Linked DNA regions of Arabidopsis thaliana. The protein of the gene in region 1 purifies or fractionates together with the protein of each later gene. This does not show direct contact. Each region holds a gene or a part of one and is shown in the gene's direction. Other genes may lie near its edges. The genes, in order: AT1G52380, NADP-ME1, AT1G13630 and PUM5.

Region 1 (5,171 bases):
GTTTTTTTACCATCTTCTGCAGAAGAAGCATAGACTAAGGTTTAGGGTAGAATATAATGGCGGGTTGGCAGAAGAATTTACAGATTGTTATTCGTCAAGTTGGTAAAAGAGTTAAGGACAGTCACATTTCCACGGCAAATTACTCTTCCACACGGAATTTGGAATCCCCTTTCTCACAAGGTGGTGAATATTATACCATTTGAAGCTGTTTAGTTTTGATCATTTCGGTTTAGATAATGTTAAATCATTTCTGAATCTATTGTGTTCTTAGTGAAATTTCAAAATGTCAGGTGTTATCTTGGATTTTTGTTTTAATATAGTGTTTGTGTGTTTGAGTTGAGTGGGTGATGATTTTTTTTTTTTTTCAATTTTTGCTGTTGAACTAGGTTATTTGCAGAGTCTCTTGAGATCAACCTATTCCTCAAGACCACTGTATTATCATCTACAACAACTGGTAATGCTTCTGAATCGATGTTTCTTTTGTTTTCTATTGAGACTGGAGTTTCTCGTTTCCTCTTTGATAAATTTGCTTTAGTAATTTAATATAGCAAAATTGTTGTTAGTGGGATAGGGGAAGTGATTAAATGTGCTAGTGGAATGACTACATCTGTTATCTATCTGAATTATGCGAAAAGACACATCTCCTGAAACCATTCATCTGTGGAGAACTATGTTATCTATGGGTATGCTGCTTCATTCTTCTCTGATCTAAATCTGTATGTTTTCAGGGAATTTCTACCTCAAGACAATTGCAGGCGGGTGAGGAGCCTGTATCATCACCTTTGTCATCTCCAGCTCTGCTGGGTAGTGGAAAAGAAGAAGAGCAGAAGATTATCCCAAAGCGTCAGAAAGTTCAGGCTGTCCTCAAGTCCATAAAGCAGGTGTGTTCTCTCTAACTCCTAGTACAGTTTTACATTTTAGATGATATGTATACATCTTGATTTGTTATATGCGCTATATAATGTGCCCAAACCTTACTTATTGCAGAGTCCTAAGAAGGTCAACTTGGTTGCAGCACTAGTCCGTGGCATGCGTGTTGAAGATGCTTTGATGCAATTGCAGGTCACGGTCAAACGAGCTTCACAAACTGTGTACCGGGTAATCTCTGAGATTCGAGTTCAGAAACAAATCACTTTTAGAGTGTCTGGTCTACTCTCCTCTCGAGGCATTTGATACATTTCCTCATCTAATGATACTTAGCATACAACTTGGTCTCATAATGTAGGTTATACATGCTGCGCGGGCAAATGCTACTCATAACCATGGACTAGATCCTGACCGTCTCCTTGTTGGTATGTATACTACTGATCTACCGGATCTGTGACTGACTTGTTTTGCAACACTAAAGAAGGAAACATGATATATGTCAGAGAAGGATGTATAATTCATCTAAGTTCTTTTGATATGTGTGATGCAGCGGAAGCGTTTGTTGGGAAGGGACTCTTTGGGAAGAAGGTAGCTTACCATGCAAAAGGAAGAAGCGGGATAATATCAATACCCAGGTGTCGTCTAACAGTCATAGTCAGAGAGACGACTGCAGAGGAAGAAGCTGAGATTGCAAGGCTGAAAGTTCACAATTTTAAGAAGCTAAACAAGCGGCAGAGACAGCTGGTACCACACAAGTTGATCGAGACAAGTCCAATCTGGAACCGCAGAGGTACCAAAGGCAATCACAGGTCATCTGAGTTGGTACCGTCTCACTAAGTATCATTGTTCCGGCAACTGTAACGAGAGCTTCTCTTTTATGGTACTTGTTTGTATCGGTAATTGGTTACTATTCCATTCAATAGATATGTTGCCAGAGACAGGAACCAAAAGAAAAGTCATTTTTCAATTTATATGAATCGAAGAAAACTGTAATCTTGTAAACATAATTAACACGAATAACATATTTTTCAATGTGACCTTTTGTGCATAATAAAATAAAATAATTGAAGTCACACACAAATGTCGATAAAAATAAAAAAGTTGAGAAAGAGAGAGAGATACAGAGCTGGATGTTTTTTCCTCTATAAACCTCTTTTGCTTTCTCTCTTCGTCTCTGACCACTTTGGCTCCGGCGTTAGTTTTTTCCCTCTCTGCTACTGCTGCGGCTCCGGCTCCTGCTACGGTAAGTCCTTGCCATTTTCTCGTCACCGGTCACTTTCTTCGAATCTTAGGTTTCTTCATTATCGGGTTTATCGGAAATGGTTTGTCTCAGGGTTAGCTACTTTGATTCTAGGGTTTTGTCATGCTCTTGTTTGTTCTGGAAATAGTTTCCGGTCATTTCTTTTATTTTGGTTCTTGATAGTTGCTTTGATGATTAGGGTTTTTGGTATTTAACTCGTGTTGAGATCGAGTTTCAGATTTTTTCTTCACTCATCGAATAATTTCTGAAGATGCTTTGGGGTTTACTCGATTGTTGCAGCTAACAGGAGTTTCTCTTAAATTTGATAGGTTCCTAAAATCGAATTTGGGTTTTTGTTTCCTCCGATTTAAAATCTCTTTTCATCTAGGTTTATAGATTTGAGGATAATAACAAAGTCACTGATGTTGAATTTTTCATTGGTTTTAGATTTATAAGTCACTGTATTTGCATTTCTTATATCTAAGTTTAGCCCTACTTCTTCTGTTCCTTACCTTGGAGTGTTAACATATAATTAGCTGTCTTCTTTGAATACATTTTAAGGCTTTCTGGATATTTGCATAAGGTAACGAGCAGCCTCTGTAGTTTTCACTTTCCATTGCATTGTCATGTTAAAGCTTTTGTCTTCTTAGATTTGGCATTACTCATCATCATCTGTGGCTGCAAACTGATCCGGTGTGTGTGTTTTACCTTTGGAACGGTGTTTTGCATTGTAATGTTTTATCTCTGTTTTCAAAAATTGGATTTTTATCTGTTATTATCTTTGAAGGGTATTGTTTCATTGGACTTTCTTTGTTTGTCTGTGTTTTTTTATTAGGTATTTGACAAGTGTGTTGACATTCTCTCATAACAATTCAAATGGGTGACTCGGAAAACGTTCAGCAACCTTCAAAAAAGAGAGGTGCCTTGAAGCAGCTGTCTCGTGATAATCCAGGTCTTGATGATGATGATGATTCAGCTGAACTTGAGAGTGGAACTTTCAAGAAGGCCAGTGATGAGGTTTTGGCTAGTAGAAGAATTGTCAGAGTTAAGCGCAAAGAGCCATCTGCTGCTCCAGTTGCAGCATCCAATCCATTTGCTGGAATTCAGTTGGTCCCTACGACTGCACCTGCTTCAACCCCTGTGGGAACAAATGCACCTCTGGCTGAGTCAAAATTGGCTCCAGCTGAAGCAGTAGTTGAGGACAATCAAAAAGCAAGTGATATTGAGGAGGGCGATGAAGTTGACAGTAAGAAGGTTGATGTCAAAGATGCTGTTGGGGAAGAGACTGAAAAGACTAAAGATAAGGATGATAATCATTGTGGAAAGAGTGCTGATGTCCAAGTTGCGGCTACAGAAGTAGCTCAGATGGTCTCATGTGACACAAACGTTTGCAACAACGCTGTTGAAGGAACAGACCAAACTGATTTTCCTCTTGAGAAGGATTCAGGAGGTGATCAGGCTGAGAAAAAAGAAAAAGAAGGCAACGGAATTGAGGAAGCAGATAAGAATGGCGATAATGGTGCTTTCAGCTCATTCCAACAGCATTCAAGTAACAAAAACGCATTCACCGGACTTGCCAGTACAGAGGCTTCAGGGTCTTCGTTCTCATTTGGTTTGGTTTCTCAGGATGGTTCAACTGGTACTGGGTCTCTCTTTGGCTTTGGCCTTCCAAGCAGCAATAGCTCTTCTATATTCGGTGCAACTGGATCGTCCATTATCAAGAAGAGTGAAGGTAGTGGGTTTCCGCCAAAGCAAGAGGTTTCCACAGAAACAGGTGAAGAGAATGAGAAAGTTGCCTTCTCAGCTGACTCGATCATGTTCGAATATCTTGATGGAGGATGGAAAGAGCGTGGAAAAGGAGAACTCAAGGTAAACGTCTCCAGTAATGATGGTAAAGCAAGATTAGTTATGAGAGCTAAAGGAAACTACAGATTGATCTTAAACGCGAGTCTTTACCCAGAGATGAAACTTGCAAACATGGATAAAAAGGGAATCACATTCGCTTGTGTGAATAGTGTAAGCGAAGGCAAAGAAGGTCTCTCTACATTTGCACTGAAGTTCAAAGACCCGACAATTGTTGAAGAGTTTCGTGTAGCCATTGACAAACACAAAGATAGTAAACCAATGGAGAAAGCAGCAGAAAAATCAGCTCTTCCTCTGAAGACACCTGAGAACTCTCCAACAGCTACAGATACTTGAAGAAAAGGTAAAAAGAAAAAAAGAAAAAACATGTAGAAACACTTCTCTCGTCTCTCTCGTCTCTCTTGTCTTTTGTCTTGTCTTGTTACTTCCAAGTAGTTGAATTTTGAGGCAGAGGAAAACTAAAATATTTGGAGAAGTTTGTTGTTTTTTTTACACAGTTGTTGAGACTTTTTGGTTACATGTTTCTGTTTGTAGAAGGAAACCATATATGACTTAAATCTGCATCCTTGATTTCTTTTTATGTTCCACCATATGAATGTGACTGGACCAGATAGGTTTCAAATTGGTCCTGAGATTTTAAGGGCTTAAGATGTGTTCTTCAAATCGTAGATTAATCGTGTTGTCAATTAATCTGGATTTGTAAAGCTGGGTTTATAAAGATCGGTATAAAATTGATCTAAGATTCACAGAGTACAAAGTTGGTGGGTTTGGGTTACTGAGAAAATTTGACATGTGTTAGTACTGTAGTTATGTTGCTAGAGTGTTTTGATTAAAGAGGTTAGTAGTTGGGAAAAGCAGAGCCTGAAAATAGAAGTGAAACACGAATAAAACAGCAAAAGTTTAACAGAAGAAAGATGAAAGGTCAATGTTTTGAGAGTTACATAGAATGATGAAACATTGTTGCCAAACCAGGGGGTAGTTGAGACCTGCTGCGCACAGAGGTTAGTCATCAGAACCAGTATCTTCTATGCCCTTACACAGTGAAAGGTGTTTCCAAGACACTATGTACTTAGCACACATTACCGCCGTCAGACATTCATCATCAGGTAAAGTCCTATCAGGGATTGTTGCAAAAAGTTTGAAACCTCTATATCTCAAACCTTGAAGAAATGGCCAGAATTGATCATCTTCTGAACTGGCA
Region 2 (6,242 bases), on another chromosome or scaffold:
ATTGACGAATCATACTATATCATGGGCACAGTGGATCCCACCGGGGAGCTTAAGGAAAATGAAATCTGTGTCATCCTGTAGGCTAGCAAATTCTTCTCTTTCTCTTTCGCTTTGAGTTTTGCATGTAATCATCAAAAAACAGTGATTAGCTTCCTTGGAATTATGAGTTCTTCCCTACAAGTAGCTGCTCATTTTCACTGCTTTCTTTTCATGGTTTTGTAGCCATTCTGGCCAAATTTCCGGGGATGTGTTAGTTTACAGAAATCCTGGATTACATTTTGGAGACATACATGTACTTAAGGCTACCTATGTTAAGGCCTTAGAAGACTATGTTGGAAATGCCAAGTTTGCTGTGTTCTTCCCTCAGAAAGGTCCAAGATCCTTGGGCGATGAGATTGCTGGTGGTGACTTTGATGGCGATATGTATTTCATATCCAGAAATCCCAAGGTACTCTGCTATATCCATCACATTTGAAAATAAACTCTTCATTGCTGAGACCTGACCTGTGAACCGGAATTCGTCTATTTAGCTACTGGAACACTTCAAGCCAAGTGAACCATGGGTGAGTTCTTCTAAACCTAGTAAAATTTACTGTGGAAGAAAGCCAAGTGAACTATCAGAAGAAGAGTTGGAAGAAGAGCTATTCAAAATGTTCTTAAAAGCAAGATTTTGTAAGAGGTACATAATTTAACTGTCGGCTTACTTTCAAGCTCACAATAGTTCGTTTAGTTAACATATGCCTTGTTTTCACGGTTTACAGAGACGTTATAGGGATGGCTGCAGATTGCTGGCTAGGAATAATGGACCCTTTCCTCACCTTAGGAGATGAGAGTGCTAAGGAAAAATATGAAAGGAAGAAGAATATTCTTAAGTTGATTGATATATACTATGATGCTCTTGATGCACCAAAAAAGGGGGCTAAGGTTGATCTCCCGCCCGATCTAGAGATCAAAAATTTTCCACATTACATGGAGCGTGACCCTAAGAGAGATTTCAGGTCCACTTCTATTCTTGGATTAATCTTTGACACTGTGGATTCTCATAATGCAGAGGAACCCCCACCATCTGGTACGGATCTTCTAGTTTCTATCAATAATCAGAGTACACAAGAACTCATCATCTCGAATATGTATTAACGTCTATATTGTATGTTTCAATTCAGAAATCAGTAAACTCTGGTATTTTGAAGATGAACCGGTCCCTAAGTCTCACATGGATAAATTTACATCCTGGTACGAGAATTACCGAAGTGAAATGTCCCAAGCGATGATGGAAACTGATAAGGTTAAGAGGAATCAATTAACCAATGAAGTTATCCAGAGGTACAAGCAGGTAAGCTCTCGCTCAATCCAATGCAAAGATCTGACCAATAGATTTCATGAATCACATTTTTTGTTGATTAGTCCATATAATGCTTCTTAACACAACTCATCGGTTGAACGGTTTCTTCTGTCTGTATCAGGATTTCTATGGCGCTGCAGGGTTTGAAGACAGCAATAAAAGTCTGGAAGAACTCTACCCCCAAGCCTTGGCACTCTACAACGTCGTTTACGATTATGCCATTCAGGAAGGTGTTGCGAAATGTACATTTGCCTGGAATGTTGCAGGACCGGTCCTGTGCAAATTTTACCTTAAGAAAACGAAGGATAAATCAGTAGTGGCTTCAACGTCTGTGCTTAAAAAGCTTTTGGGTTGAACAGACTTACTTGTCCTGTTTGTTGTCTTCATGTATCATAAGATGCGTTAGACAAGTATCTGACCTAGGTAACCGAACTTATAGGCGAAGCTATGTGGTGTACTTCCTTTGTTTAAGTTATAACTTAAGATTTGTCATCTAGTGTACAAGTAATTCCGTGTGTATGTTTGCTTATGGAATAAATAAAGAAAACTAATGCTTATATTTAATTTCAATTAATTGTACGTGGCACTTTCAGAGTCCATTTGGTGTACAAAGCTGTCTTCTTCAGTGTGACACCTCTCTGCATCCTCAAGCTTCCATTTGTCTTTTCCAGACCTTTCTTCTTTCCATTAAGTTTCTTCCTTTGTGATCCTAGAAAAATCTACTTCTTTTCGCTTTTTGTTTTTGGGATTGTTTTCATTGATCCTTTCAAGATGGAGAAAGTGACCAACTCAGACTTGAAATCCTCTGTTGATGGTGGCGTTGTTGATGTGTATGGAGAAGATTCAGCCACCATTGAGCACAACATAACTCCTTGGTCTCTCTCTGTTTCTAGGTAGCAACATAACTTCTCCGTGGTAATATAACTAAGTGTTTAAATTAACACTCAAGTTAGTAACTCTGTTTCTTGTTTCAGTGGATATTCATTGCTGAGAGATCCTCGCTACAACAAAGGACTTGCTTTCACTGAGAAAGAGAGAGACACTCATTACTTGCGTGGTCTTCTCCCTCCAGTTGTTCTTGATCAAAAGCTTCAGGTAAAAACTTGGTGATTTGGTTATTCTGTATGGTTGCGCTAATGGATATAGATACATAAAAAACTTGTGTCAATGGTTTTTTTGGGATTTCAAATGATTTAGGAGAAGAGGCTGTTGAACAATATCCGACAATATCAATTCCCATTACAAAAGTACATGGCTCTGACAGAACTTCAGGTGAAAATCTTGTCTATATAATCTACAAATTTTCTGTTTAGTATTTCAGAGAAAAATGAATCTGTTATTGGACTTGAAACAGGAAAGAAACGAGAGACTGTTTTACAAGCTATTGATAGATAATGTTGAGGAGCTACTTCCTATTGTTTATACTCCAACTGTTGGTGAAGCTTGTCAGAAATTTGGAAGTATTTTCAGGCGACCTCAGGGTTTATTCATCAGTTTAAAAGACAAGTATATATTGCTTGTAACTGTATCTTATTATTTTCAATTCCCTCCCCCCCCCCCCCCCTCTTTTAGCTTTACTCATATGTCATAACCATTTTATTCATAACAGGGGAAAGATTCTAGATGTGTTAAAGAACTGGCCTGAAAGGAACATACAGGTTATTGTTGTTACTGACGGTGAAAGGATTTTAGGATTAGGAGATCTTGGATGTCAGGTATTCCTCGGATATCGCTTCATTTCAGATTTGATGTGATCACAATATGACTTTGATTGTTTGTTTGCCTGAGTTTGTCTCTCTTTAGGGGATGGGTATACCGGTTGGTAAGTTGGCGTTATATTCAGCACTTGGAGGTGTTCGTCCTTCAGCGGTAATGGTTTAGTTGTCCTACGGTTTTAAACAATATTTCTGAGTCAGGAACTTGAGACTATATTGCTTTTGGCAGTGTTTACCTGTCACCATTGATGTGGGAACAAACAATGAGAAACTGTTGAATGATGAGTTCTACATAGGACTCAGGCAAAAGAGAGCAACGGGACAGGTTTGTTCTTGTATAGTCTACTCTATTAAGAACTTAAAACATGATCATATGAACTTCCACGAATGAGTAGGTTTAAACATTATTGCAGGAATATAGTGAACTCTTGAATGAATTCATGAGTGCTGTGAAACAGAACTATGGTGAAAAAGTTCTTATTCAGGTAAGAAATGAATTCATAGTTCTTGATCTATAATTGAAGGATTCAGTAAAATATTACTGAAGCTCTTTTATGTGGATTGTTATCTTTCATTTGATACAGTTTGAAGATTTTGCTAATCATAATGCCTTTGAGTTGCTTGCAAAATACAGCGATACTCATCTCGTCTTCAACGATGATATACAGGTAACAGTTTAAGACCTCTTTTTATGTTTCTTTTTGTCTTCATAGTACCAAAGAATTTTGTCTTTGCCTTTCAATTTCAGGGGACAGCATCAGTTGTTTTAGCAGGATTAGTTTCCGCACAGAAGTTAACGAATAGCCCACTTGCAGAGCATACCTTCCTCTTTCTTGGTGCTGGTGAAGTAAGAATCAATTTTTGGAATCACAGTATCATCCTTTATACTCAATGTTTTCTTATGTCTTCTTGTTTGGTTGTTGCAGGCTGGAACTGGAATAGCAGAACTCATAGCTCTCTATATGTCAAAACAGGTAGAAGGAATACAAAACTGTACATAAGAGGAAATTTGAGAGTAGCTGTCAACTTATTACATCTTTCTTCTGCAGATGAATGCTTCGGTAGAGGAAAGCCGCAAGAAAATCTGGCTTGTTGATTCCAAGGTAGAAGGAATACAAAACTGTACATAAGACATTTCATTGGAACTACCATTTTGATGCAAGTTTTGTTTTCTGATAGGGATTGATTGTTAACTCCCGCAAAGATTCACTTCAAGACTTTAAGAAACCATGGGCTCATGAACATGAACCAGTCAAAGACCTCTTAGGTGCTATCAAGGTTTGAAATTTCTCCTGTTAAGCGTCATGGTCCTCTTATATCTCAGATCTGTCTTCTTTCCTCTTAAGTATTATGTCTCATCAGGCAATAAAACCGACTGTTCTGATTGGATCTTCTGGCGTTGGACGGTCTTTTACAAAAGAAGTGATAGAAGCCATGTCCTCCATTAATGAGGTATTTACTATCCCTATCAAGTGAATGAGTGATCATATTAATTATTAAAGCATGGTTTTGGTTAAAGAGGTAGTGAAACCAACAATATGTTTCTTGCAGAGACCACTGATAATGGCTCTCTCTAACCCCACAACACAATCTGAATGTACAGCCGAAGAAGCTTATACTTGGAGTAAGGTAAGTCTCTCCACACCGCACCATTGTTCCAATATGTATTCCCTTCAGATAGAAATGAAGTTTTCTGATCTTCTTCGAATGAAGGGCCGTGCCATTTTTGCTAGTGGAAGCCCTTTTGATCCAGTTGAGTATGAAGGAAAGGTGTTTGTATCTACACAGGTAGTAGTCACAGATAGTTTCTCTTCTCTTCATCCGTTGAGGTTTACGGAACTAGGTTAAGAAAAAAATCTATGCTTTACTTAAAACACAGGCGAACAATGCGTACATATTCCCGGGCTTTGGACTTGGTTTGGTTATCTCTGGAGCAATACGGGTACATGACGATATGCTTCTAGCTGCTGGTAAGCATCTACGAAATGTAAAAACAAGTAAAAGGCTCTCTCAGCTTTGTTGTTTACTAATATTATGATGTGTTTCTGCGTCATAGCTGAGGCATTAGCTGGACAAGTAAGCAAAGAGAACTATGAGAAAGGAATGATATATCCTTCATTCTCTTCCATCCGGAAAATATCAGCTCAGATTGCAGCCAATGTAGCAACTAAGGCGTATGAACTAGGTCGGTCTCTCTCTCTCTCTCGCGCAGTCAGCCTTATATTGTGGTTTTGAATATTGATGGTGGAAATGCTGGTTTTGCAGGATTGGCAGGGCGGCTTCCACGGCCGAAAGATATTGTCAAATGTGCAGAGAGTAGCATGTACAGCCCCACATACCGTCTCTACCGTTGAAAGTTGAAACTCAAGAGTCTATACTTTGTGTGCTTCTCATCCTTTGTTCAGTTATTCCCATGTCTTTCTGTAATTTCCAGTATTAAATTAGTCTTTCAAGTTGAGATTTCAAACACATGCCAAGATCTCTCATTTAACTTTGCAACTCTGAAAGTTAAAGACTATATGAAGTGAATTTGTTTAATAGAAAACGATGAAAATGTTATATATTTGGCAAAAGAGTGCAAAATTTACATCGCTAGTTTGACGGGTAAACATGAGTGGTTTTTCCTTGTAGACTTACCAATTTTCAATATTGTACGTCAATTTATTAGTGAGTGTAATAATGAATATATTAGTCTATCCGTGTGTGGTCTTTCTCTCACAATTTTGCTTTTATCCCATACTTTTGGCACTAGCTAAGATGACTTTCTTAACTCTAGTTAGTACATTTTCCTAGATCCCTTCAAGATATGTTGTTTTGAATTTTTTTATTTTTTTTGTCACAACTGTGTTTTATTTATTTATACAAGGCCAAATAATATAAAGCCAAAATTAACAGGCAATAACACTAAATTAAAAGAAAAGCCCAACAGAAACCCTAAATTGAAGGAAAGCTTGTTGTAGACAGCACATGAAACACGTATCCAATGGTAACCAGGCTTCTAGACACGTGGGAAGTGGAAGAGATAGGAGTTTCCGTTCATTGGCAAAATTGTGTGTCGTCGGGAATCTTCAATCCGACCAAAATCACCAGAAAACTTGATCTATCAACATGTCTCAAACTTCGCCCAAAGAAATCATGGCGAGATTCCAATTTTAGCTTTGATGAGAATCTTTGAATTTTCTTCT
Region 3 (5,769 bases), about 15 Mb from region 1:
TTCATTTAGCTATATATAATATTAGAGTAGGACATCTTGATCTTACCACTTTTCTTGGTGATCCAGTTGCACCTCTTTGGTTCATCACTACTATTGAAATCCTGACATAGTTGTTGTGGGATACTTTTTGGAACAAATATTTCTCTTCTGTGGGGAGATGAGATTAAACCGAGTGCCAGAGAGATCTTTTGTTCCAACGTCGAATTTGAATCCGTGGAAACAGAATCGGTCGAGTTCTGAGAGAGTGATAGAGATATAGAAGAGAGTGAAAATGAAGAAGAAGTGCTTCGTTGAAGCGTGATTGGGTAAATCCTCTTTAAGTGTTTGGCAAAGAAATTTGAGTTTTGTTTAATCTCCTTCTCTCTTACACTCTTGCTTTTCTCTACAATCTCTTTTCTTTTAGGACTTGCCTTATACATCTTTGATTTTGGAGTAAGTCAAAACAAAGAATAGCCACACACAAGTACTTATAGGAGAGCAATGCAGCATACAATGGAGTTTTTAAGTTAATGCCTAATTACACCTAAGTTGGTGAAATGTGGATTTTCAAGTCTGTGAAATTTTACCATATTTGAATATTTTCTTCATTGGTATGTATAGACGAAAGAAACGGCAAAATTTCATATAGATTTTATTTTAAATATATAGCTGAAAAAGACATACTACAATTTTTGCATTTACTTAAGTTGGTTTTAGATCTAATGCATGCATCAAGAAAGGTGACAAATAACCAAATTGGTGAAGTGATCCATCTTAGTACCTTTTCTAAATCTAATTTACTTTAAAAACTTTATCTGTTGGAGTTCTTCTTTGTGTACTTGATTTGAAATACTAATCGGTATATGTATAATTAAATTTGAGTATTATTGCATCATTGAACATTCATATTCCAATAAGTTTTCTGAATTTTGTCACGTTAAAGTAAGTGGAAAAAACAAATTGATATCTGCCATTAGATTAAAAAAACCACACTAGTCTAGTTCGCACTCAACACATCTTTCTTCAGTGGAAAATATGATTATTGATATGGTTACGGTGAATTAAATAATTATAAACCAGATTATTCTTAGCTTCTACTCTTTGCTGCTGCATGCTCTCATGTTTAAGAGAAATGAACGTTTTGCCTATTTTCGACAAAGAACTCTCATCCTTTTTTTTATGTATAATATATACTTTTTCTTACTACGTATTTGTTACTTTGTTAAAATGCATGTAAACTTTTTATAACATCATCATATATCAATTAAATAGTTTTAGTCTATTTACACTAATTCAATTAAAATAAAATTTGTTTTATTTTTAAATTATTTATTTTAATTTATTTCATTTATTTTGTTTCACCAATACTCTTTTTTTTTTAAAATTATCTTCATTTTTTCTCATTATTTCACCAATACTCTTCACAAAGAGAACCATGAATAGATGTAAATTATTTTAACATCATCATATTGACATACTACCTAATTTGACTCTCACTTTCTAATTTTTGTAAACCGTCATAAAAGTTGAATCGGAATATAAAATTGATTCGGTTAGTGATTAACCGAAATTAGGGTTTAAATCATAAACCCAATTATCTTAAAACCCTTTTTTATCTCCTCCGGCTGTTCTTCAAACTTGCCGGGAAAAGAAAACCTTAATTCTCTCCGGCGAACCTCAAATTCGCTTAATTTTCTCTGAAAAACGACAAGGGCATCTCCAGAATCCCCCAATTGAAAAACCCTAATCCCAAAATTCCATGATCTGTAGATGGATTGCATTCAATTCAAGCAAAGTGTCTCGTTCTCTCTCTCCTTTCTCTTCTCTCTTATTCACTAAATCCTCCTTCTCCGTCGCGAAAATGGACGATGAGTCATTACCCACAACCAATTCCACTTCCGATCACAGAGGCTTCTATAAAGAGATTCTCTTTGGGATGAAGAAGATTGGGTTCCGCGAGTTTCTTCACGGGTATCACTTTCGAGGTTTGGTTTCGGAATTGAGGCATGTTCATGTCGAAGAAATCATGGATGAATTGATGTCTGAAAGCTCAGATCTTTCTGTTTGGTTTTTCAAAGAGCTGAGAGATATCTATGCGTTTCGTCATTCGAGTTTTTCCACATTGTTGGTTTCACATGTTTTAGCTGGTCAAAGACGTTTCAAAGAGCTTCAAGTGATTCTGGAACAATTGCTTCAAGAAGAAGGCACGTCTTCTCTTTTCTTTTGTCTGCAATTTTATTGAAAGCTTACAGTTTTAGAGTTTGTTAGGTTTGGTTAAGATATTTGTTGGGGTGGAATATGATTTGTTGTATCAATTTTCAATGTTTAGGCTCTGGTTCAGCTTCTAGGCTTTGTGAACTTCTCTCTAATAGCTTCAGAAAGTGGGAGTCTACGGGATTAGTTTGGGATATGTTGTTGTTTCTTTCATCAAGATTGAGAATGGTTGATGATTCTCTTTATATCTTGAAAAAGATGAAGGATCAGAACTTGAATGTGTCGACACAGTCGTACAACTCCGTTTTGTATCATTTTAGAGAGACGGATAAGATGTGGGATGTGTACAAGGAAATCAAGGATAAGAACGAGCACACGTACTCAACAGTTGTAGATGGTTTGTGTAGGCAACAAAAGCTAGAGGATGCAGTTTTGTTCCTTCGAACTTCAGAGTGGAAGGATATTGGTCCCTCTGTAGTTTCTTTCAATAGTATAATGTCAGGTTACTGTAAATTGGGTTTTGTAGATATGGCGAAGTCGTTTTTCTGTACAGTTTTGAAATGTGGGTTGGTTCCTAGTGTATATAGTCACAATATACTCATCAATGGACTCTGTCTAGTTGGTTCTATCGCAGAAGCTTTAGAGTTGGCTAGTGACATGAATAAGCATGGAGTGGAACCTGATTCTGTGACATACAATATTCTTGCGAAAGGGTTTCATCTTCTCGGTATGATCAGTGGGGCTTGGGAGGTAATTCGAGATATGTTGGATAAAGGATTGAGTCCTGATGTTATTACATACACAATTTTACTATGTGGACAATGTCAGTTAGGAAATATTGACATGGGTTTAGTATTGCTGAAGGATATGTTGTCGAGGGGATTTGAGTTAAACAGTATCATCCCATGCAGTGTAATGCTCAGTGGTTTATGTAAAACAGGAAGAATAGATGAAGCTTTGTCGTTATTCAATCAAATGAAAGCCGATGGTCTGAGCCCTGATCTTGTAGCATATTCTATTGTGATTCATGGCCTCTGCAAGTTAGGAAAATTTGATATGGCTCTTTGGCTTTACGACGAGATGTGTGACAAAAGAATTCTTCCGAATTCGAGGACTCATGGTGCTCTTTTGCTCGGTTTATGTCAGAAAGGGATGTTACTTGAGGCAAGATCGCTTTTGGATTCTCTGATTTCAAGTGGAGAGACACTGGATATTGTTCTGTACAATATCGTAATTGACGGGTATGCAAAGTCTGGTTGCATTGAGGAGGCGTTAGAGTTATTCAAAGTAGTCATTGAGACTGGGATAACTCCTAGCGTTGCAACTTTTAATTCTTTGATATACGGGTATTGCAAAACCCAGAATATAGCTGAGGCTAGAAAAATCTTAGATGTCATCAAGTTATATGGATTGGCTCCAAGTGTTGTGAGTTATACAACTCTGATGGATGCATATGCAAATTGTGGAAATACCAAAAGCATAGATGAATTGCGCAGGGAAATGAAAGCAGAAGGAATCCCACCAACCAATGTCACGTACTCAGTGATTTTTAAAGGACTTTGCAGAGGCTGGAAACATGAAAATTGCAACCATGTACTCAGGGAAAGGATATTCGAAAAATGCAAGCAGGGACTCAGGGACATGGAATCTGAAGGTATACCTCCAGATCAGATCACATATAATACAATTATTCAGTATCTATGCAGAGTTAAACATTTATCTGGAGCATTTGTGTTTCTCGAAATAATGAAATCTCGAAATCTTGATGCTTCATCTGCTACTTATAATATTCTAATCGACAGCCTTTGTGTCTACGGTTACATAAGGAAAGCTGACAGTTTTATCTATTCGCTCCAGGAGCAGAATGTTAGTTTGTCCAAATTTGCTTATACCACACTGATCAAGGCACATTGTGTAAAGGGTGACCCTGAAATGGCAGTGAAGCTATTTCATCAACTGCTGCACAGAGGATTCAATGTTTCCATTAGGGACTATAGCGCGGTGATCAACCGTTTGTGTAGGAGACATTTGGTAAACGAGAGCAAATTCTTCTTCTGTCTAATGTTATCCCAGGGTATTTCGCCTGACTTAGACATTTGTGAAGTGATGATCAAGTCAGATGAATTGCTTTCCTGGACAATCAAATGGGGTTTGTTGCCTGATTAGTAATGAGAGAAGTTTTGTCTATTGTCCCATCTTATCTGCTAACTGCAGAAGGCACACACTTTCAGTAGAGAAACTGTCTCATGAGGTAACTGTTATTAGTATACTTTTACTGCATAAAGAAACTAAATAAGTTACGTAATGGATTTATCTGATGCTTTATTGTCTTTCTCAGTGATTCAGTTAACAGATTAATCTTAGCTACTGGATGGTATCATCGGGCAACAGTTGTATCACATTGACGACTTTGACGAATTGCGGTAAGTGATGTTTCTTTACCATTTTCATACTAACCTTTGAACTCGATAATGTGAACGTATGAGGCCTTTTGGTTAGATTGGAAATATGGAACAAGGGACTTTTACTTCTGTCAAGTTTTTAGTTTCCTCAACCCAAACCCTCTCAAGTGTCTAGGTCGTTTTGCTGCTTGAGTCTAAGACTGAATTTACTTTCTTCAGGTTCTTCTGAAGATGAAGTCACAGCTTGGTCAAAAACGGACGGGGGAATCAAAAGGGTCCGGCCAGTGACAACAACTCCAGTTATAACCTGCTTGGTCGTAAATAAGAGTATTTGACGGAAGTGGACAAAATGGTAAGTTCAGCTTTGCGTGAGGGATCCTAGGATTCTGGGCTCATTCAACTACAAACCAAGACGGGTGAAATACATAATCCATTTTTGTAACCAAAAAGCTTTTCCATTTTTCGACCAGATATCGCCAGATTTTTTACTGTAACTTCTTGATAGTTTGTTGTTCTTACTCATTCCAGAGCATATCTTGTCTGTCTGAAACATTCTTTTGTACCTATTCCCAACACTAATGTAAGATCAGCACATAATTAACTTAAGAGAAGGATAACATTGAGACAACACAGCTTGGTAATTATACATACCACTTTTTATAACTGAGACAACACAATTTGGTTATACATACCACTTTTTCATATATATAATTTGAACGATCGATTTTACAAACACAAAGCTCACAATACTCCATATACTATATGTATTTTGATATATATCTTATATTGATATGATAATAATGAGGAGCATTTTGTTGAGTCTCTATATAAATATGATAGATGTGATCAGTTGTTTTTGGGAGGATGGTGCCTTGGTTTCCAGTAATCAGCAGTGTAGGCAACGAGATCATCCTCTTCCTCAACATTTGTCTCTTTCTTTGTTGTCTTCTTCATCATCATCTTTGTCGTTTCCTTGCTAAACTCTTGTCCACTTCTTCCTCGTACTTGCGCCTTCTTCATTGCATCATCACCATCAAGATGCTTCATAACCTGCTTTACATGGTTATCATCAACCTCTTTAGATTATATACATGCATGTCGAAATTTCAAACTGAATGCAACCGCTATGTGAAATTCGCAGTTGTGAATGATGTGGAAATTGATTACATAAGTA
Region 4 (6,864 bases), on another chromosome or scaffold:
TGGAATTGCTCCAAGTCCTTCAACTCCATCGCCAAGATCTGCATCTAAGAAGCTGTCATCGCCTTTCCGATGTCTTTCTCTCAAAAAGTTTGATGTTCCGGAGGAAGATATCGAGCATTTGCAGCCGACAGAAGTTGACGACCCTTATCAAGATCTAGAGACGGCCTATGTTGCTCAACTCTGCCTCACTTGGGAGGCACTTCACTGTCAATACACGCAGCTGAGCCACTTAATCTCATGCCAACCCGAAACCCCGACTTGCTACAACCATACTGCCCAACTGTTTCAGCAATTCCTAGTCTTGTTGCAGAGGTATATAGAGAATGAACCGTTTGAGCAAGGCTCAAGATCGGAACTTTATGCTCGTGCTAGAAATGCAATGCCTAAGCTACTTCAAGCTCCTAAGATTCAAGGTGATTTCTCAGCTCTCATACATTGCGCGACTTAAAACCTTATGTGTAGTAGTAACACTTGAAGTTGGTTATGTTCAAAACATATCAGGGTCAGATAAAAAGGAGATGGAGAAAGATACAGGCTTCATGGTCCTCGCTGATGATCTCATCAAAGTCATAGAGAGCTCGATCCTTACTTTCAACGTCTTCTTGAAAATGGATAAGAAGAAACCAAATGGGGGTATTCACTTGTTTGGGAACCACAACAACAACCATGTGAATTCTACAACTCCTTTACTACTGGTTCAGTCATCCATTGATAAGGTACGATTTCTCTGTACTCAAATGTTATTACTATCGTATGCTTCTTTGGTGTCTCATAAGAGAGGAACTTTTGCAGAAAAGGGTGAAAGCAAAGGAGCTTTCAAAGAAGACAAAAGGGCTGAGAAAGAAATCATGGCCTCAAACATGGGAAGGTGTTCAACTCTTGTTTGCAGCCATTGACATCAAACTCGCAACACGGGTTTTGAGGATGTCGAAAATCAGTAAAGAGCAACTTCTATGGTGTGAAGAAAAGATGAAAAAGCTCAACTTTTCAGCTGGGAAGCTTCAAAGACACCCATCTCCAATTCTTTTCCCTTGTTGATATAATAAAGTGATGAACACACAATGATTTCAAATACTGTAGCATCAACTGTTCCCTTTTTATACGATCTTTAAGATCCGGTTTGGGGATTTTTCTTTTGCAGACAAATCAAAGAAGAAATTGTGTGTGTTGTTCCATTTGCTTTCATTCATTCTCTTGGCAATAAGAGTCCAATTCCAAGAACACACTTGGTTTGGTCATAGATTCACTATTAAGGGACCATTTTCATTGTTGTCGTTTGGATTTAGCACATATGAAAGAATCCAATGTTGTCTTGTTGATGGGAAACTAAATCCATGATCATGATCATGATGGTGATAGAAAAGTCTTATTCTTCTATCACTTTCATTGTTTTTGGCCAAAGTCTTTTTATTTCTTTTCCACACTTTCCTATTTAACAAAAATCCTAAGAACTATAACTATAAAACTGTTGAACAGTGTTCAGGTTCTTAAAACAAACAATTAGAATTTCTTAATCCAAAAAGAAGAAGAAACAAAAACAAAAAACTTAAAGTGTGTTTTGGTGGTGGCGTAGTAACAGGCAACAGAGACAATGCCACGTGAACGTATCTCTTTCAACTAGAAGTGTCAACACGTGGCAAACCTAGTCACCAATTTGGAGCCAAAGCTTGAATGACCAAAAAGGGCTTGCTTCACCACCACCGTTAAAGAACATGCTGAGGGGTAGTTTAGTCATTATAAGGAGACGACGACCTCTTCGTGTGCGAATCCGTCGTGATGCTGAATATTGTAATGTTGTTAAAAATGCGATATCGAAAAACTCTTTAAATAAAATTTTGTGTATTAAATTAAAGACTAAAACCTTACAATAATTGCCGAGAAACAAAAAAGTGTTAAGATTAGTCTTGACTTGGTGACTCGACGAAGCCCCTTGAAGCAAACTTTTCAAAGGGTTTAGTTTTAATTTCTCTATCTCTCTTTTTCTCTGGGTCTCTTCTCTCTTCAAACATTTTATTTCAAGCTCTTTGAGAAAACACTTTCATGGAAGCTTGAATATCACCATCAGGTACTTAACTCTGCCTCTTCTTCCCTCTTCCTCTCTGTATCTACTTTTTTTTCTTCTACAAGTCATGCAAGGAACTAGTTTATGAATAGAAAATGATAAAGTTTAAGTCTTTTGTTTAATTTTGATCTCTGATTATAGCTTCAGGATATGATTCTCTGTTTGTGAAGAGGTTAATGAATGAGTTCAACGGTTTCGTGTGCTTTTATAAAGATGGCGTCTTTTGATGATCTTGTTGTTGTTTTTCCTGATTATTGAGTTGACTGAATTTTTTAGCTTCAGGAAATGGTAAAAATCTTAGTCTGAAATTTCGATCCTTGATATGTAGATTTCGTTCATGTCTTGTCGATTACTTGTTTTTTTGTTCTTGTGATTAATGAAATTTGGGACCATATCTTAAAGTTCTTAGCTTTTTGTTCTCTTATGGACTAAGGTTTTGCTCTATGTGTCAGGTGTTGTGAAATTTACTTTGTATGATATATAGAAACTTGATTATAATAGAAGTATGACGACTACGCAGAGCGCTATGAGAATGGTTGAGGGTGATCATATAAAAAATTGGCAGGCTTCTAGTGATAGTGGGATCTTTGGTTCACTTGATATGGCTGTTGAAGATTTAGGATTCCTTATGAAAAGAAATAGGTTGGATAGTGGTGATCAAACCGGTAAATTCCCTAGTAGAAGCGAAAGCGCGCCGCCTAGCATGGAAGGTTCCTTTGCAGCTCTTAGGAATCTCTTGAAACAACAAGAAGGTAGTAGCTCTGAAGTTTTAAGTAGGGCTATTGAGAATTATGACTCGGAAGAAGAGATACGTAGTGATCCTGCTTATGTAGCTTACTATTTGTCGAACATCAACTTGAATCCGAGACTCCCTCCTCCGTTAATCTCACGGGAGAATCAGCACTTGTTGCGTCATTTTGGTGATAATAATCAGAGTCCAACAACTTCTTGGGATAATATGGGGATAAGATCATCTTTGCATTCTTCTAGAACTGCTCTTTCAACTCATAGAGAGGAGCCCGAGGATGAGGCATCATCGGGTGAACAACAATCTTATGCTTCTTTGGCTGGTCGTCGTAAGAGCATAGCTGATATGATTCAGGTACATGGTTCCTTATTTTATTACTAAAATATTAATTCATTTTACATAAAGGAAGATTTCCCTCTTACACTTTCTTCTGTGTTCAAGCGGCCTCATTCGGCAGGAAATCGTCCAATAGCACAAGACATCCATGCCATTTCCTCTGATACATCTTCAGAACACGCAAGAAGATTACCGGAGTCCGATATAAATTCGGTTAATCTGCTGAGGGAGACAGATTCTCTCTCCAGCGATGCTATTGCTAGTGAAGATCCCTTTACCACTGATTTGGCCTCACAAAGTTTTACTAATGCACAGACAGAGAGATTGAACGCGAGGCAAGCGAGCCATGAGGACAACAATCTATCTGTTTTTGGTGCTTCTCCTCCATCCTCTGTTGCTTCAAGAATGAGGAGGAACCAAGAAGACCAACAATCTCAGGGAAGGAGAATGCCTCCACAATACACACCTTCATCGTATCAGGTTCAAGCTAGTTCGCCACAGCAAATGAGCTATCCGAGGATAGGTGGTACACAGGACATGATGCAGAGCTTACCAAAGATTGCAACTGGCGAGGTACATTCGACTTTCCAATCTCCTCACGGTTTGGCACCGCCTCCTATGTATACATCAACAGCAGCATATATGACATCTCTGAGTCCATTTTACCATCAAAACTTTCAGTCCTCGGGTATGTTCGTCCCGCAATATAATTATGGTGGTTACCCTCCTGCTTCTGGTATTGTCCCTCAATATATGAGTGGATACCCATCTCATGAAGCGACTGTTCCTATGCCATATGATATCTCATCTACTTCTTCGGGCTACAACAACCCTCGGCTCCTGCCTGGAGTATCATCGAGTGGACAAAACATTCCTTCTCTTGTGGATCCTTTTCAGTTGCAATATTTTCAACAGGCTCAAGTGGACGCGTATGCTCCTCCGTTTCAGAGCAGCACTGATTCTTTTGGGCAGAAAGACCAACAAGCTGTTGGCTATATGGCAAATCATGAACCTCTCAACAGTCCATTGAGTCCGGGTTACGGGTTGCAAAGTCCGCGGCACATGGGAAACTATTTTGCAGTGCCGCCTGGTGTAAGAGTAATGCCGCAGTATCCAGGATCACCTCTTGCTAGTCCGGTGATGCCATCCTCACCGGTTGGTGGAATGATGAGCCACTTTGGAAGACGAAGTGAAACAAGGTATCATCAACAAGGGCCAAGTAGAAACACTGGGATCTACCCTGGTGGATGGCAAGGGAACAGAGGGGGAGCCAGCAGCATCGTTGATGATCTAAAAAGACATTCTTTTCTTGATGAACTTAAGTCTCCAAATGCTCGGAAACTCGAGCTTTCTGATATTGCAGGGCGTGTTGTTGAATTCAGGCAGTGTTTCTGCTCCGAATCTATCATTTTCTTTAATTCTGAAGTAGTGTTTTGAAAGGTTCAAAAGAAATGATGTCATAGTAATCTTAATTTACTACTCATTTTTCTGAACTTCAGCGTCGATCAGCATGGCAGCCGGTTTATTCAACAGAAGTTGGAGCACTGCTCCGATGAGGAGAAGGCATCTGTTTTCAGTGAGGTTCTTCCACAAGCTTCAAAATTGATGACTGACGTTTTTGGAAATTATGTCATCCAAAAAGTGAGCCACTTTTTCTTCTTCTTTTTTTCTAAGCTGAAAAGATCTTGTCCATAAAATACATTGTGATTTTTGAATCAGTTCATAGAACATGGAACTCCGGCACAGAGAGAAGAACTTGTGAAGCAACTTGCTGGTCAGATGGTTTCACTAAGCTTACAAATGTATGGATGCCGTGTGATACAAAAGGTAAATTTATTAATTTTACTTTCCTTATATCAATGTCAGTATCTTGAAGTAAATTGTAGTTAAGTTTCCATGTGCTTGTTTGTACCTTATGATATTTATAGGCCCTTGAAGTGATAGATGTTGACCAAAAGACAGAACTAATTCGTGAGCTCGATGGGAATGTGCTGAAGTGTGTTAGAGATCAAAACGGAAATCATGTTATCCAAAAATGTATCGAGAGTATGCCTGCTGGTAGGATTGGATTCGTAATTGCTGCTTTCCGTGGTCAAGTCGCCACTCTTTCTACTCATCCTTATGGATGCCGAGTTATCCAGGTAATTGGAAAAGAGCGAGCTCTGTCTCCTCTTGTACTCTGAACTTGAAATATTCATTATTTTCCTGTCTGCTTTGTTATAGAGAATCTTGGAGCATTGCTCAGATGATGAGGAGACTCATTGTATAATAGATGAAATATTGGAATCTGCGTTTGCTCTTGCTCATGATCAGTATGGGAATTATGTCACTCAGGTCTGGTTAATCTCGGATCCATTGTCCCTCTTGGAATTGTCTTGAAATCTTTTTGTTCTTAATATTGTGCTTTGGCTTATGTTTTTCTTGTAGCATGTCCTGGAGAGAGGGAAGCCCGATGAAAGGAGACAGATCATTGAGAAGTTGACAGGGAATGTTGTTCAGATGAGTCAGCACAAATACGCATCTAACGTTGTAGAGAAGTGTTTGGAACACGCTGATAGTACCGAAAGAGAGTTCCTGATTGAAGAGATAATGGGCAAATCCGAGGAAGACAATCACTTGCTAGTAAGAACAAAATCCTAAAGATAGCTCTTTGAATCCTCCTGGACTTATTTTAACACTCTTTTGTTCTGCAGGCGATGATGAAGGATCAGTTTGCAAATTACGTGGTCCAGAAAGTCTTGGAGATCAGTAAAGATCAGCAAAGGGAGATTCTGGTGCAGAGGATGAAAATTCATCTCCAAAGTTTGCGGAAATACACATACGGGAAACACATAGTAGCCCGATTCGAACAACTGTTTGGTGAAGGTACTTTTCTCTAAAACTAAAACTTGAGTTGTCAATATGACTCTGCTAAAGAAATCTGAACGTTCTAATATGTTATTGTTACAGAGAGTGAAGTCTCAGAAGAGGGAACAGAAGGTTAGACAGAAGATTTTCTTTTGGGTTGCAGATTTGTACAATGTTTGACTTAGACAAATATGTATTTGAAAATGCTTATGTATATATGCTTGTATCTATGAATGGAAGTGTGATGGTATTACAATATGTATATGGTGTGGACATGATCTGTGATTAATAATTTGATTTGCTTCTTACTTCTTTGTTTTGACGAGAAGAACACAGAGAATTAGCCTCAAGAATTAAAAAAAACTCATCTTCTACTTCTCATGGGAATCATAACACTCCCAGGTGCCAAAAAAACATCTCATGTCCAAGCCACCACATTCCCTAAATCATAACTTAGAAATGTGATGACAGGCTTTAGCTTTAAAGAAACAATAATAACTTAGGTTACAATTTCGTCATTATATGAGTGGTTTGGTGTTGGCGGCAAGCAAAATATCTTTCCAGGCTTCATAGAAGACCCAAGTAATGCCTGAAGATGGCATGACTTTCAAACAACTTGCTCCCCATCCTCTGTAGAGTCCCATCACTCCTTCTTTCTTCACTACTTCTGCTATTGCTGCAGCCATGTTTGGTGGGCATTCTCCCTTCAGAGCTCCAACCATCAACCGCTTCCGCGCTACTTCCAAGGGGAAGCTTATGGTGCTCGCCGTTAGACCTGACCCCAGTCACAACTCAATGAGTCTTAAACATGATTTAAGTAAGGAAATACTGTAAAGGGAGTGGTTTCTTCAATTACTTACCAGCTAAAGCT

The links.
Region 2: the proteins of AT1G52380 (region 1) and NADP-ME1 purify together in Arabidopsis thaliana (affinity purification with mass spectrometry, with the first as the bait; one large-scale study listed by BioGRID). This does not show direct contact.
Region 3: the proteins of AT1G52380 (region 1) and AT1G13630 purify together in Arabidopsis thaliana (affinity purification with mass spectrometry, with the first as the bait; one large-scale study listed by BioGRID). This does not show direct contact.
Region 4: the proteins of AT1G52380 (region 1) and PUM5 purify together in Arabidopsis thaliana (affinity purification with mass spectrometry, with the first as the bait; one large-scale study listed by BioGRID). This does not show direct contact.

What each region holds. Positions count from the first base shown.
Region 1 is NC_003070.9:19,506,996-19,512,166, forward strand, and holds AT1G52380 (NUP50 (Nucleoporin 50 kDa) protein), read left to right. Parts: upstream 1-1,956; 5' UTR 1,957-2,110; exon of another isoform or gene 2,111-2,942; 5' UTR 2,943-2,983; coding exon 2,984-4,306; 3' UTR 4,307-4,646; downstream 4,647-5,171. Other genes in the region: AT1G52370 (Ribosomal protein L22p/L17e family protein), read left to right, coding at 57-180, 387-454, 729-881, 988-1,098, 1,226-1,292, 1,418-1,704; AT1G52390 (uncharacterized protein), read right to left, coding at 4,973-5,002, 5,054-5,171.
Region 2 is NC_003071.7:8,591,275-8,597,516, reverse strand, and holds NADP-ME1 (NADP-malic enzyme 1), read left to right. Parts: upstream 1-1,957; 5' UTR 1,958-2,113; coding exon 2,114-2,235; intron 2,236-2,316; coding exon 2,317-2,437; intron 2,438-2,513; exon of another isoform or gene 2,514-2,539; coding exon 2,540-2,614; intron 2,615-2,696; coding exon 2,697-2,848; intron 2,849-2,951; coding exon 2,952-3,057; intron 3,058-3,145; coding exon 3,146-3,211; intron 3,212-3,286; coding exon 3,287-3,382; intron 3,383-3,470; coding exon 3,471-3,542; intron 3,543-3,641; coding exon 3,642-3,725; intron 3,726-3,805; coding exon 3,806-3,904; intron 3,905-3,983; coding exon 3,984-4,031; intron 4,032-4,106; coding exon 4,107-4,160; intron 4,161-4,236; coding exon 4,237-4,335; intron 4,336-4,419; coding exon 4,420-4,509; intron 4,510-4,608; coding exon 4,609-4,686; intron 4,687-4,770; coding exon 4,771-4,845; intron 4,846-4,936; coding exon 4,937-5,027; intron 5,028-5,113; coding exon 5,114-5,242; intron 5,243-5,322; coding exon 5,323-5,411; and 2 more. Other genes in the region: AT2G19910 (RNA-dependent RNA polymerase family protein), read left to right, coding at 1-77, 223-448, 531-679, 762-1,069, 1,164-1,333, 1,464-1,697.
Region 3 is NC_003070.9:4,668,898-4,674,666, reverse strand, and holds AT1G13630 (Tetratricopeptide repeat (TPR)-like superfamily protein), read left to right. Parts: upstream 1-1,593; 5' UTR 1,594-1,738; coding exon 1,739-2,183; coding exon of another isoform or gene 2,184-2,187; exon of another isoform or gene 2,188-2,277; coding exon of another isoform or gene 2,278-2,308; coding exon 2,309-4,359; coding exon of another isoform or gene 4,360-4,444; intron 4,445-4,531; 3' UTR 4,532-4,616; intron 4,617-4,814; coding exon of another isoform or gene 4,815-4,883; 3' UTR 4,884-5,242; downstream 5,243-5,769. Other genes in the region: AT1G13635 (DNA glycosylase superfamily protein), read right to left, coding at 47-419; RGF2 (root meristem growth factor-like protein), read right to left, coding at 5,442-5,645.
Region 4 is NC_003074.8:7,058,364-7,065,227, reverse strand, and holds PUM5 (pumilio 5), read left to right. Parts: upstream 1-1,855; 5' UTR 1,856-2,065; exon of another isoform or gene 2,066-2,350; intron 2,351-2,514; 5' UTR 2,515-2,567; coding exon 2,568-3,164; intron 3,165-3,251; coding exon 3,252-4,528; intron 4,529-4,645; coding exon 4,646-4,787; intron 4,788-4,865; coding exon 4,866-4,973; intron 4,974-5,074; coding exon 5,075-5,287; intron 5,288-5,369; coding exon 5,370-5,480; intron 5,481-5,573; coding exon 5,574-5,768; intron 5,769-5,839; coding exon 5,840-6,011; intron 6,012-6,095; coding exon 6,096-6,130; 3' UTR 6,131-6,357; downstream 6,358-6,864. Other genes in the region: AT3G20260 (DUF1666 family protein (DUF1666)), read left to right, coding at 1-413, 502-716, 793-1,038; AT3G20240 (Mitochondrial substrate carrier family protein), read right to left, coding at 6,512-6,768, 6,854-6,864.